Linked DNA regions of Xenopus tropicalis. The protein of the gene in region 1 binds, or shares a complex with, the protein of each later gene. Links are inferred from orthologs where the notes say so. Each region holds a gene or a part of one and is shown on either strand. Other genes may lie near its edges.

Region 1 (6,316 bases):
AAGACCCGCCTTTTCTGACTAGATCACGTCTGGAAGTGGCAGGCGGGAAGCCATGATATCATCATCGCGTGAGAAGCTAATGGCGCATGCTAACTGAAGGCAGGGGAGGGAGGGGAAGTGAGCCCGCTTACCTCAGTGGAGAGAACCAGCGAATAGCACTCGTCTCTTCCTGTCCAGTAAGGGGCACCCCAGACTCTGCCATTACATTCTTTTGCCCAAATAGGTTACCCAGGGCCGGATTTAAGTTCTCGGCGCCCCGAGACCGCCCCCGCCCCGAACGCGCGGCGCCCTCTCCCCCTGAGTGCACATGCGCGATCAACGCGCATGCGCAATCGCACATTTAAACTCCCATACGGAGCAGTGGGGAGAGGTCCTGACTGCTCCGTATGGGAGCCAAATTTAAAAATTCTGTTGCGGCGGGGCGGCATGCCGCCCCTAAACTTGTGCCGCCCTAGGCCCGGGCCTTTGTGGCCTTTCCACAAATCCAGGCCTGGGGTTACCTACTGGAACTTCAGGGATAACCTGGGCACAGTAGTGGAATCCTGCAAAAGGGGCTGACATTCTGAGTGCAAACAAGTTGCTGACTCTGGTCTTACCCCAGTTGTCAGTGCTAACCACTGACCAATGTAGTCCTTGTGCAGAGCCTCTCTAGAGGCTAGTCTTAACCTACTTTGAAAACAGAGCTCTGCTAGCCAAGCAAGAGGGTAAAAGGCGAGAGGGAGGAGCAACAATTCTGACATCACTGCAGCGTCCTGCCTCCTAGCGGGAGAGGCCCTTTACCCCAATGTTCCTGTGTCCCCCATGACATAAGAGAAATTTAATTGGTTTGCACCAGTGATCAAGAGTTCTGAGAAAATAAATAGAGGATAGTAGAAGATCACTATCTTTTCTCTATATGACAGACTGGCAGGAAATATAATGGTAATTACCTAGTCAGAACAAAACCTACATGGGCGAGGACAATAACACCTCTACCGATATCTTTTGCTGCATTGCACTTTGAGGCTTAACATTGCCATCAGCAGATAATACTTTCTTAGTACTAGGATGCAGTCATTTTCTTCTGTCCTAGTGGCTAAAACTAAGATGCTGCACTTGTGTAATCACAAAGCTATATCTTTTTAGAATAAATAATATAATGATTGTTTGCTTTACAGAATGTTTTTTTATCAATTGCCTAATAACCATCCTTTACATCACAATATGGTGCATAATAAAAGGAATCTGTCTGCCCCTGTAAATTGAGTTGGTCAAGAGATACGTCTAGGCCAGGGGTGGCCAAGAGGTAGAGCGTGGTCTACCAGTAGATCACTTTAAAGTTTTTGGTAGACCACAAGGTGGGATGCCATCCCACCACTTCTTTTGTGCCTCAACATAACAGAGCTTATGACTGCAGCCATACTGCTGTGTTGATCTTGTATAATGTTATCTGAGCATTAAATGTGAATTTGACACTTCATTTATATATATTGCTATGTGTATTTAGGTATTAAACATCAACTATTTTTATTAAAGTAGATCTCATGATGGAGGCCAGATGGCAAGAGTAGACCACAGGGTGACAAACTGTGGGTACCCCTGGTCTAGGCCTTCAAATACCCTGCACTACTTTTATGGCAGATATAAGTCATCCACAGACAGATCACCCAAAGTTTCCCAACTCAAGTCTTACATGATTCTTATCATGAGAAAGCAACAAAATCCGGAGGCTTTTCATGCTGGAACTCCGGTCCAGAAGATCCACAGCCTTGTCCAGGTCATCCTGACTTCGGAGGGGAATGGAGAGCTACAGTAAGTAAAAAAAGACCTGTATGACATGGCATTTAAAGGACATATTAAAATGTAGGTGCACCATGACACCTACCCATGAAGACCTGGAGATTTGTCTGCATTTTGTCACTGTCTTTTTTCAGACATTTCTCTGACTTTATAAAGTGAATAATGTACCACTTTCTATTTATTTCTATGGGAATTTTAGAAGCACATTTATCAAATGGTGAACTCAATCCCATAGGATTGAATAGAAAGTGGGTAAGTTTCTTCTGTGGTGAGCTTTACTTTCACATTTTGATAAATTTGCCTGTAAGATTTGATTATAACTGATGACATCACTAAACTATGGGGGCTAATGGCAACTGCCAACACATTTGCTGGTGAAAGTCATAACAACAAGATGCTTTCTTTAAATATTAAGAAGTAGCCAAGACATTGTTTACTGCTGATTGTTTGCAAGACCTGAAGAAACTTTGTACCACTACTTCTATTCCTCTGAACTATTCCACAGAGTGACTGAACCTTTTCGTAGCTTCATAATAATACTTAATACTTTACATGTTTCTGTTTAATAAGGAGAGGTCAGTGTGATATAAGTACAGAAACAAAAAAACTAAAGCCCACTGATCAAAAAATGAATCCACCAGTATACCTTTAAATGTTGAAAAATCCCATTGTCCCACAACCAGTGAAGGGCTGTTAGGGGTGCTAAGAGTTTTTAATTAACATGCTGAAGAACAGGTTGACTTATGTCTAGTTATCAATTTTATATACTCATTTCAATTATAAGTCCCTAAAAAAATAGTATTGGGTTAACTGGCTTCTGGCAAAATTTACCCTAGTGTGTGTAGATATAGGGACCTTAGCCTGTAAGCTCCACTGGGGCAGGGATTGATGTGAATGTCTATCATTAATGTAAAACACGGAGTATACGTATAAGCAATATAATAATAACAAATAATAAATAAAAAAAATGTGCACATGTTGTTGCCTGTGTTGTTTACTTGCTTTAACAAGTCAAACATTGCAATCAATGACAGTGTCTTTATGGGTGCTTTTATTATTATGAGAAGGCACAGCTTTATATAGGGCAGGGCTAGATATAATCTGTAGCTAAATCAGAATCACAATGAACATGTCAGCTCTTCATTCGAATATGGGCAGCAACAAAATAGTCCTATGTGGAGCCAGGGCTGGCAGCCCGAGGCTGTCACCTTTCTCTGCCCACCTACCTCCCCCCCACTCTCCCCATGCGCATGCATATGCACCCACTTAGCTCACATATGGACCAATGGGGAGAAGCACTCGGTCTCCATTGCTCCGTATGTGATCAAAGTCTATTCATCCCACGAGTAACTGTATTTGTGCACATCTGAAACTCCACGTCTCTTGTGCTGATTTACCTACCTCATTGTTCATGTAATAGAGATCCAGCTGTTGCCCAAAGACATTCTTTACTTTCTGTTCCACCTCTTCAAACTTTACAGGCCTAGAAAACTGTAGGATTCTAAAAAAAGGCAATTCACAAAATCAGAGAAGTGGGAAAGAGAATATTTGAAGAAATCGGATTTGAAAAATAAATTGTAAAGGCTGCAAATCTAGGGAAAATATAGTACAAAGCTCACTCTTTGTATGGCTCCCCTTTATACCTCTACTCTTGCTCAAGTAAATTCTATTGACAAAAATGCATATCTGTTGAAATGGTCTTTTAGGTACAGGTGCTCTACTACTGATTCTCTATCAACTGGATTTCAGTAAATCTGGCCAAACTGAATGTCATCTTGACACATGCAGAATTGAATTAAATCACATCTCCCTCTTTTACAGACCCCCTCTACTGAGATATCAGCTGAAATGAGAGGAACAATACTATTCAGTTATCTGCATTGTCAGTTATGGGACAAGTCTGCCTGGATTTTGCTGCATTAAGGGTGATGGCACACCTTCATTTTTCATTGCTGCAGCCAGTTAACCTCCTACTGGATATGGAAAGTGCCATAGGGCAGCCATCCTCTCTATTCAGTATGACGAAAAGCTGCTGCTAAAAAGCATTTTGACAGATGATTAAAACACCCTGTGTGCTACTAGCTTAAGTATACTAACATAAGAACTGCATTCATATTTAATTCATAGGCTGGCACAGTTGTAAAAACTACAGCCGCCATGTTTTATTTAATCCTGTTTGGGATACATTATTTGGAAAGAAAAGAAACCACACGGAACATTCCTGAAATATTTTGTATCAGCCTTTGATGAAAATTCAGCTAAAACTAAAAAGCACTTTGGGATCCCAAATAGAAATGAGCTAAATTTCACGATGCTGTATTATAGAGTCCTATCTAGGCCTCCCCAAAGCCAAATCCTCTCAGCTCACTTTCCGGCCATCTTACATATTTGTGGTTAGACCTGGCAGACTCCAAGCAACCACATGGCCATTTCACTCCTCCTGTCTGTAAATGCAAACACCATGAGGAGGAGGGAAACCAGGGCACGTAGCAATGCCAGTTCACAATCAGGCCATTCATTGGGAGACTTTACCTTAACTTTTTCTTATGTTATCACCATACAGAAGACTCTTAAAGAGACTCTATTATACTTTATTTTATGATAATGTTATACATAAAGATGCTAAAGTTAAATCTGAAGCATTTTTATTCTATGTTATCTAATATGTATTTGTCAAGGGGTGATCATTGATGCTTCTAAAAAAAGGTGCTTGATGTGCCAGTACAAACAGATTTTGGCCTTAACATCTCTTGGTAGATTGATTCATACTGGATGGCTTATCACTCCAATTCTATTTAACGATTGTTATTATTCTTTACTTATATAGCTCCAGCTTATAACATCAGTCCCATTGGAAACTACAATCTAATCAAGTAAACTGTCTGTATGTTTTTGCAATGTGGAAGGAAAACTGTCCCAGAAAAAAAAAATACAAGCATGGGAAGAACACAGAAAGTCTTTGAAGACTGTGCCCTGGATGGAATCAAATCTAGGACACCAAAACTGTGCATCACTGTGCTTGAAAAGCCTTGTTTTCATGGGCAGTTTGGAGCTTTAGAACTGAAACTTAATATGTTATTTTTAAGGTTCCACATACCCTAACAATTTGATGAACAGACTGAACACAATTATTATTAATAATAAATGCTTTCCCATTTTAATAATGGAATAGGAGGCAAAACTCAAATAGTTATAACTATTAAATACATTTTACTGTAATACAAGGCTAACATTATTTAACATCAAAACAAAAAAAAAAATAGAGCAAAATAACAGAATTCAACTAATTTTGGAATAGCATGTAACACTCCTCTTAATCCAACACACAAATTTATAAAAGGGGCAATCACCCAGTCGTTTTCCCAATGTTCAGTAAGAAGCAACATATAGGAACTTTTATTATTAGTAACCAAGAAACCATATACCAGGACAGAAAACAGATGCCCAGTTTAACTATTCAAACCACTACACATCCAAGTGATGTTAAAAGCAACTGTGATTGCAAAGATGACTGCCATTACCCTGTTAGACATCCAAAGCATAGCTAGCATTTCTTCTGAAAGGAGAACTCAACCCTTCTTTATAGCTTGGTACCTCCAGAGCCCTCCCCCACATGGTGTACTTTGTATTTCTTAATTACACTGTTTATAATGTACTCTACCATTTACATTTTATTCTTGAACCAACAAATTTTCAAGATGCAATATTGGTGTGTAGCCAGTTCTACACATTAGAACTGTTTCTGCTACTCCTATGTAACTGGAGGAGTCCCAAGCTGGTCTAATATTATTTACTGCTGAGTGCTATTCTGATATCTACCCCTTTTTAGCAATACAGGTGTCAGGTAGCTGCTATCTTGCTCCCTTCCCATTGTTCTGCTGACCGGCTGCTGGGGAAGAAAGGGAGGGGGGTGATATCACTCCAACTTGCAGCACAGCGGTAAAGTGTGACTGAAGTTTATAAGTGTACAAGTCATATGGCTAAGGGGACATGGGAAAGTAAGGGAGTGGCTAGCCCCATGTGAAATTTCAAAATTAAATATAAAAAAATCTGTTTGCGCTTTTTAAAAAACAGATTTCAATGCAGGATTCTGCTGGAGAAGCTCTATTAACTGATGTTTGTTCATGACAATATTACTTTAACGTTTTAGAACCAGCTACAGAAAACAGGCTGTTTAATGGGTAACCAGTAGTGCAGTTCAGAAGAACTCTGGGGGGTTTTGTTCTCCTTCAAATCTGCTGGGACTGAAACACTTCAAATATTTGCATAAGTGCACATGAATAAAACAGATTTTGGCTTACCTTCTCTCCCCACTGTGCTCAAACTTTATTCTGACATCCGTCTGTAATATTTAAAACAACAATAAATATTAACAAGGCTGGAAGGGGCAACACTGACACAAGCAATGTTGTGTTGTTGTATGAAAACTACTGTCTTACATTCTGCAGCTTTTAGGCCTGCAAATTAACTTGCTATGGTAATTCAGCCCTAGCAACCAGACAGCAATTTATATGCCCCAGCAACTAGACAATAGTTT
Region 2 (6,205 bases), on another chromosome or scaffold:
CCCAGCACCTTGTGGGATGGGTATTAGCCTGAGGCCCAGCACCTTGTGGGAGGGGCGTTATCCTTGGGCCCAGCACCTTGTGGGAGGGGTATTAGCCTGAGGCCCAGCACCTTGTGGGAGGGGCGTTATCCTTGGGCCCAGCACCTTGTGGGAGGGCCGTTATCCTTGGGCCCAGCACCTTGTGGGAGGGCCGTTATCCTTGGGCCCAGCACCTTGTGGGAGGGCCGTTATCCTTGGGCCCAGCACCTTGTGGGAGGGGCGTTATCCTTGGGCCCAGCACCTTGTGGGAGGGGCGTTATCCTTGGGCCCAGCACCTTGTGGGAGGGGCGTTATCCTTGGGCCCAGCACCTTGTGGGAGGGGCGTTATCCTTGGGCCCAGCACCTTGTGGGAGGGGCGTTATCCTTGGGCCCAGCACCTTGTGGGAGGGGCGTTATCCTTGGGCCCAGCACCTTGTGGGAGGGGCGTTATCCTTGGGCCCAGCACCTTGTGGGAGGGACGTTATCCTTGGGCCCAGCACCTTGTGGGAGGGACGTTATCTTTGGGCCCAGCACCTTGTAGAAAGGTTGTCATCCTGAGGCCCAGCACCTTGTGGAGGATTATCTTCCTAGAGCCCAGCACTGCGAGGTATAGGTGCTATTCTGAAGCTCAGGACTGTTATGTATGGTTAGCATCCTGGGTTAACCTGAGGCCCAGCACCCTGTGTGAGGGGCATTATCTTCAGGCCCAGCACCTCATGGGAGGGGTGTTACACTGAAGCAGAGAATCATATGATGGGTGCTACTTGAGGCATTGCACTGTGTGGGAAAGGCAGATTCTTGAGAACCAGCACCTTGTGGGAGGGGCATTATCCTGACAAATTATCACAGGAAAAACCCCACATATTTAAAATTTTGTAAAAATGGCAAATTCCCCAAACTTATGCACAAAAAGCAGCTGAAATGTTAGTAAATAGTGACTGCTCAAATGAGTGCTTTAGTGCATCACTAGGGGAGAGTAAGATAGAAACTCTCTCAGCCCACATTTCCGCTTGGCTCTCTTTCTATCACAGTGTCTGACAGCGGCTGTGCGGCCATATGTACGGCTCAGCTGGAGAAAGGGCTACCTGTGTGCAGGGCAAGTCTCTCTTGTATAAAGCTAATTGTAATTTCCAGTTTGTCCAGTAGGTTGCGGCAAGTATGGGAAATGTCAGTTGCTCAAGGGTAAATCATAGCAAAGTGTGCCCAGTGGATTCTATACCCAAATGGGACTCATCAGCTAAATCTGTCCCACACCAAGTGTAAGCAACTGCTGCAGGATACATGGCAGCTTCATTAGCAACTGCTGCAGGATACATGGTAGCTTCATTAGCAACTGCTGCAGGATACATGGCAGCTTTATTAGCAACTGCTGCAGGATACATGGCAGCTTCATCAGCAACTGCTGCAGGATACATGGTAGCTTCATTAGCAACTGCTGCAGGATACATGGCAGCTTTATTAGCAACTGCTGCAGGACACATGGCAGCTTCATTAGCAACTGCTGCAGGATACATGGCAGCTTCATTTGCAACTGCTGCAGGATACATGGCAGCTTCATTAGCAACTGCTGCAGGATACATGGTAGCTTCATTAGCAACTGCTGCAGGATACATGGCAGCTTCATTAGCAACTGCTGCAGGATACACGGCAGCTTCATTAGCAACTGCTGCAGGATACACGGCAGCTTCATTAGCAACTGCTGCAGGATACACGGCAGCTTCATTTACAATAGGGGAATCAGTGCAGAGTTCACCCATGGGTCTTGCACCCTGTAGGGAGAGCTGCTGGCAGGGTTCTACCCCCCCCCCCCCCAGGCAGAGAGACTTACATATTGCCCCATCCTTAGGAAATGTAGGCAGGAAAGCTCCAATCCACTGTAATTAATCCTCCTACCTCCACTAGGGGGTAGATGTTTGGGCTGTGCCCTGTTGCCCCCGCCTTACCCCCTGCATTTAGCAATGGGCAGAGTATTATGCAAGGGGCAGTTGCCCACACCTCCACTCCTTTCTCTTAGGGGTGGGGTTTCTGGGTTAGCTAGGGCTCCCTGTAGGGCTGGGGACTATATATTTTTTCTATATACTGCCCCCTGTCTGTAGCCAGGGGAGGGCGTGTAATTCTTCAGTTAAGTCTCTACTCCACACATGACATTACCGTTCCCTACAGCATAATGAATACAGTGCAGAGCCAAGGGCGCCCCCTACCCTTCAGTTAAGTAGAACCATCTCCCCCACTGAAGGAAGTGCCATAATGTTAATGGCTGGCCAGGATGCTTCAGATGCACCCACATATCTGTGCTCCACTTGGTACTTACCATAAACCCAGAACATGCTGTGTACCGAGGAGCTTGCAATCAAACAGGGAAGCCAGATTTGGGGGTACAAAAAACAAACACACAGAAGCCTTTAGATGCACGCATGTATTTACAGGTAAAAATACTACATACAAAAAGTATCCAATCATAAAGGGTAAACAGAAATGATGCACAAAGCTGCAAAAATAAAAAGACACGGCAATTCCTATTGGCTCCCGACACTCGCACAACTACACACACCCATCAGTAACACAGTCAGTGCGTCTCACAAATAAACCAAATTGCCCCACGGGTCTCCCCTGCTTCCTGCATGTCTGACCTTGTAACAGAATGGGGGGGGGGGGGGGGGACGGTGCAAAGGATTCTAGGACAGCAAAAACATCACTGCTGGACAATGCAAGGCCTGATGGGAAGATTATATTGTACTGTCCCGCAGTTACAGCCCCTTCCACTGCCACCCCCTCCCTGCCTTTAGTTAGTGCCCCCTACTCTGTGTTCTATAATGATACACACCATGCAGTTCTGTGACTTGATGCTATGCTCACAGTTCCATAGTTACAGTCCCCTCCCCAATTCTCTTCCTGACACCCCTACACACTGAACGCTGCAGCCCCTTCAAAGAGATGAGAACCAGCTGCAGAAATCAGATTCTTTACTTCCCCTTTAAACAGAACTGCTGCCATGGAAGGGGGTGATGCTAGTCCCAATTCATATATAAGCAGGGGCAATAAGAGAGGCCGTGGCCCCCCAGCTGGAAAGTCAGTAGGTATCTGCTTCCTCTGGAAGAGACCATAATACATATCCAGGGGTGGCTCTGCAATGGAAAGAGATACAGGTCTATCCCTAAATAAACAGGATACAGATGTAACAGGAGAACCCACGCGCCAGATGCACTCATAGCTGGAATGTGGGTGTGGCTGCCTGGGGCCGAGCCGGAGGGCTGCATTGCACCGCACCGAGAAGTCAGGGGATATAAATATCTATACAGTGACTGGGGGGCAATGGCAGGAAGTTGGGGCAGGCCTCGTACGCAGATAAAAACACTGCAACAAAATAATTATACAAAAATGAAAAATAAAACCTCGGTTCTGTAACACAAAATGTCTTGGCACTCCGGCGCGAGCAGCGTGTGGCAACACAATGCATTGTGGGTGTTACGTGTGTAGCAATCCATGGCGATGCCTGTAAACAGCTTGTGTTTCTATGCAAACCCCTCTGCCCATATAACATGGAGCCCAAGTAAAGATGGCCGCCTCCACGAAGGGCATTGGCTAACCTATCCCCTGTCCCTGGTGATCCAGGAATGTATTGGAACAGGGATTGGACACCTTTGGAGCAGCAGCTTCTGCCATATTACAACTCCCAGCACTCCCCTGGATCTAGGGGTTGTGTATCTGTGACAGACAGAATATAAAAATAGGTAATGATCCCCAGAAAAGAAGGGGCGGGGGGAGGGCAATTACCCCCAGTGAATATAAGCGCAAACCTTGGCCCCTAGGCCAGTGCTCCACATTGCTCAGGGCACATTTCCTGTGAGTGCCATGCCACCATCTTCCAGGATTTCCCAGGCAGCCCCTGCAGCTGCCAATGAATGACCTTTCACATTTGCAGTAAAGCAACAGCAGAAACGCACTTTCCTGCATTGCTGGCAAATCCTTAGAGATGGCGGCACGGCACAGAGAGGAAAAGAGCCAGAGAGATGCCCGCTGCTGTCTCCTGTGTGTTTGTTGTACAGCCCTCACTCGTATATCTGTACAGGATTAGTGTTGCCTTGATGGGAAGGAAGCCGCTGGGACCGTCACCGGGCGTTGGTCCAAACGCTTTCAGCGCTGCTCGCGGCTTTGTGTTCTTCACATTGTGGTAAATGTTGACTTCTATTGATGCATGAAAATAGTACGGTCCGAGTGTAACAACCGCCAGCCCAGAGATTGTACTGGTCCGTCCGCTGACGTACGAAATGTCCATCGTTTCCGTAGAAATGGCGGGAAACGCAGTTTAATTCCTGCTTTGGGTCACGTCGGAGGCAAGTCCACCTTGCGCTGAGCTTCGGCCCAACCAAAACTTGGGCACGTATGATGGCGCCAGTGCTTGGGGATACAATCTTGGCTTTACATAGAGAACGCGATAAAAAAATAGAACGACGTGGCAACTCGGCCGCCATCTTTTGCTTATTTGGTTCTTTATGCTGGTGAGGAAACCTGACCGGGTCCATGCCCAGCCAATCACGAATAGTTTACAGCGCCCCCGTGAGAAGGGTCTTGGTCCATGCAGCAGCCAAGGGCTTCAATGTCATTACTGATGTCAGAAATCATCCGGTCCCACTCGTCCCCTTCAGAGGGCCCCGACTGGTCATCCGAGCCCCCCGCTGCACCATTTCCATTGGTCGTGGAATGGGAGGTGGAACTCATTGTCCGCCTGTACCGCCCAAAGCTGTCTGTGATGATACCGCGCCCGTCTTTTACCCCTATGGTTTCTAGGAAGTTCTCAAAATGTTGGCTATCCTTCTCTGGGATGAAGGGGCGGAGCCCTGCATAAAAAAAAAAAAAACACACTGTCTGTTAACACTCATGAACCTCTATGGTATTTTTTTTTTTTACTTACACAGCACAGAATATTTATGTCACTTCCTCAGGCTGCTCTCCTCCCCGTGGTCAGGATGAGAAATGGGGCTTGGATCCAAATGAAAGAGGTGCCTAGTGTACATTGATCATTATAGCATGGCAGATAAAGAATGGACTTCCCCTAATGTTCAAACCGATCATTTACACGGGTCAATAAGAAAAGCATCCAGCCAAGCTCTGTTCCCAACTGACCACAGGAAAGAGAGCAGCCCAAAAGCAGTCAGTAAGCAAAGACAAAGCTTTGTACCATGACAAACTGAAGGCAAAATGAACAATATAAAAAATAAGTCCAAGTACATAGTAAGAAGCAAACATTTTTGCAGATGTGTGCCCCGCCCCCAGCGCCTCATTACCGAGCAGCAGAAACTTCCTGCTGTCCCCATACAGCTGCCGTAGGTTAATGCAGAACTCGTGAATTGAGGAGCCGTTGCGGTATTCGTGAAGCAGCATCGCAAACTGCTGGATCTCCTGCGACGAGAGCTTAGTCCTCAGCTGGAAATACAAGGAGAGAGGGGTGGGCAGTGGTGCACACAGTAGGGGGCGCTATTATGCTGCACACATACAGCGAGGCTTCTTACCGTCATCATGTAGTCCTGCAGCAGCTCGGCGGCAGTGGCACTCAGCTCACTCTCACTGGCCGTCTTGTTAGGGGAATGGAGATTGGAGAGGGAGGTTGGGGAATTACCATCGGCGTCCACAGACTCAGGGAAAGAACTGCAAAGGGAAAAAAGAAAAGCTACCAGTGTTATCCCTCTACAGGGCACACTAAACATAACTTCCTTCTAGAATGTTCTTTGGAAGTGGCTTTATTAACTCTGGGGACTGGCCAACTCTACTGCCCCTTTCTGCTCACTGTCAGCCGAGTGATAAATCTGAGCAGCAAAGCATCAGGAGGCACTACTCTACTCAGTAAGGATGAATGGCCAGCCAAGCAGAACAGCAGGGGGCGCGCAACTGCTTCATATTCTTTATTTCGCCATCTTGAACTCCCATTGCTTCCTAATGAAACCTTATGGCATGTGGGAGTTGTCAGCATCTGAAAAATACCGATTCCCGGAGATGACTTACAAGGTGCTGGCTTCCAGCTCATACGCTTCCTTCACATCCACTTTGGTGGAAGAGTCATCTGCAAAAACCAGAGAAAGCTCATTATTATCCTTTATTTATAAAAGAAAATATATATCCTTCATTTATATAGCACCGACACATTCCACAGAGAATATAAATCATTCCCATCAGTCCCTGCACCAATGGA

What was found. The genes of interacting proteins can lie anywhere in the genome.
Region 2: the proteins of map3k3 (region 1) and ccm2 are in contact, whole or in part, in a crystal structure (PDB 4Y5O), measured with the Homo sapiens proteins. The link is inferred for Xenopus tropicalis from reciprocal best matches to the Homo sapiens genes MAP3K3 and CCM2. Residues at the interface, in NP_002392.2 of Homo sapiens: Asp2, Glu3, Gln4, Ala6, Leu7, Ser9, Ile10, Met11, Asn12, Asp13, Leu14, Val15, Ala16, Leu17, Glu50, Asp82, His84, Met86, Asn88, Glu89, Leu90, Ser91, Ile92, Leu93, Arg117, Leu119, Leu121, Ser122, Gln123, Asp124; in NP_113631.1 of Homo sapiens: Leu299, Tyr302, Met303, Leu306, Arg307, Ser312, Gln313, Ile315, Gln316, Gln317, Phe318, Ala319, Ala320, Leu321, Leu322, His323, Glu324, Arg326, Glu333, Ile336, Asn337, Gln340, Leu341, Leu353, Phe356, Pro358.

What each region holds. Positions count from the first base shown.
Region 1 is NC_030686.2:17,072,055-17,078,370, forward strand, and holds part of map3k3 (mitogen-activated protein kinase kinase kinase 3), read right to left. Parts: intron 6,122-6,316; coding exon 6,081-6,121; intron 3,281-6,080; coding exon 3,181-3,280; intron 1,787-3,180; coding exon 1,673-1,786; intron 1-1,672. UniProt on the Homo sapiens protein: Component of a protein kinase signal transduction cascade. Mediates activation of the NF-kappa-B, AP1 and DDIT3 transcriptional regulators.
Region 2 is NC_030682.2:12,528,348-12,534,552, reverse strand, and holds the end of ccm2 (cerebral cavernous malformations 2 protein), read right to left. Parts: intron 6,077-6,205; coding exon 6,019-6,076; intron 5,665-6,018; coding exon 5,529-5,664; intron 5,443-5,528; coding exon 5,304-5,442; intron 4,857-5,303; coding exon 4,552-4,856; 3' UTR 2,420-4,551; downstream 1-2,419. UniProt on the Homo sapiens protein: Component of the CCM signaling pathway which is a crucial regulator of heart and vessel formation and integrity. May act through the stabilization of endothelial cell junctions. May function as a scaffold protein for MAP2K3-MAP3K3 signaling.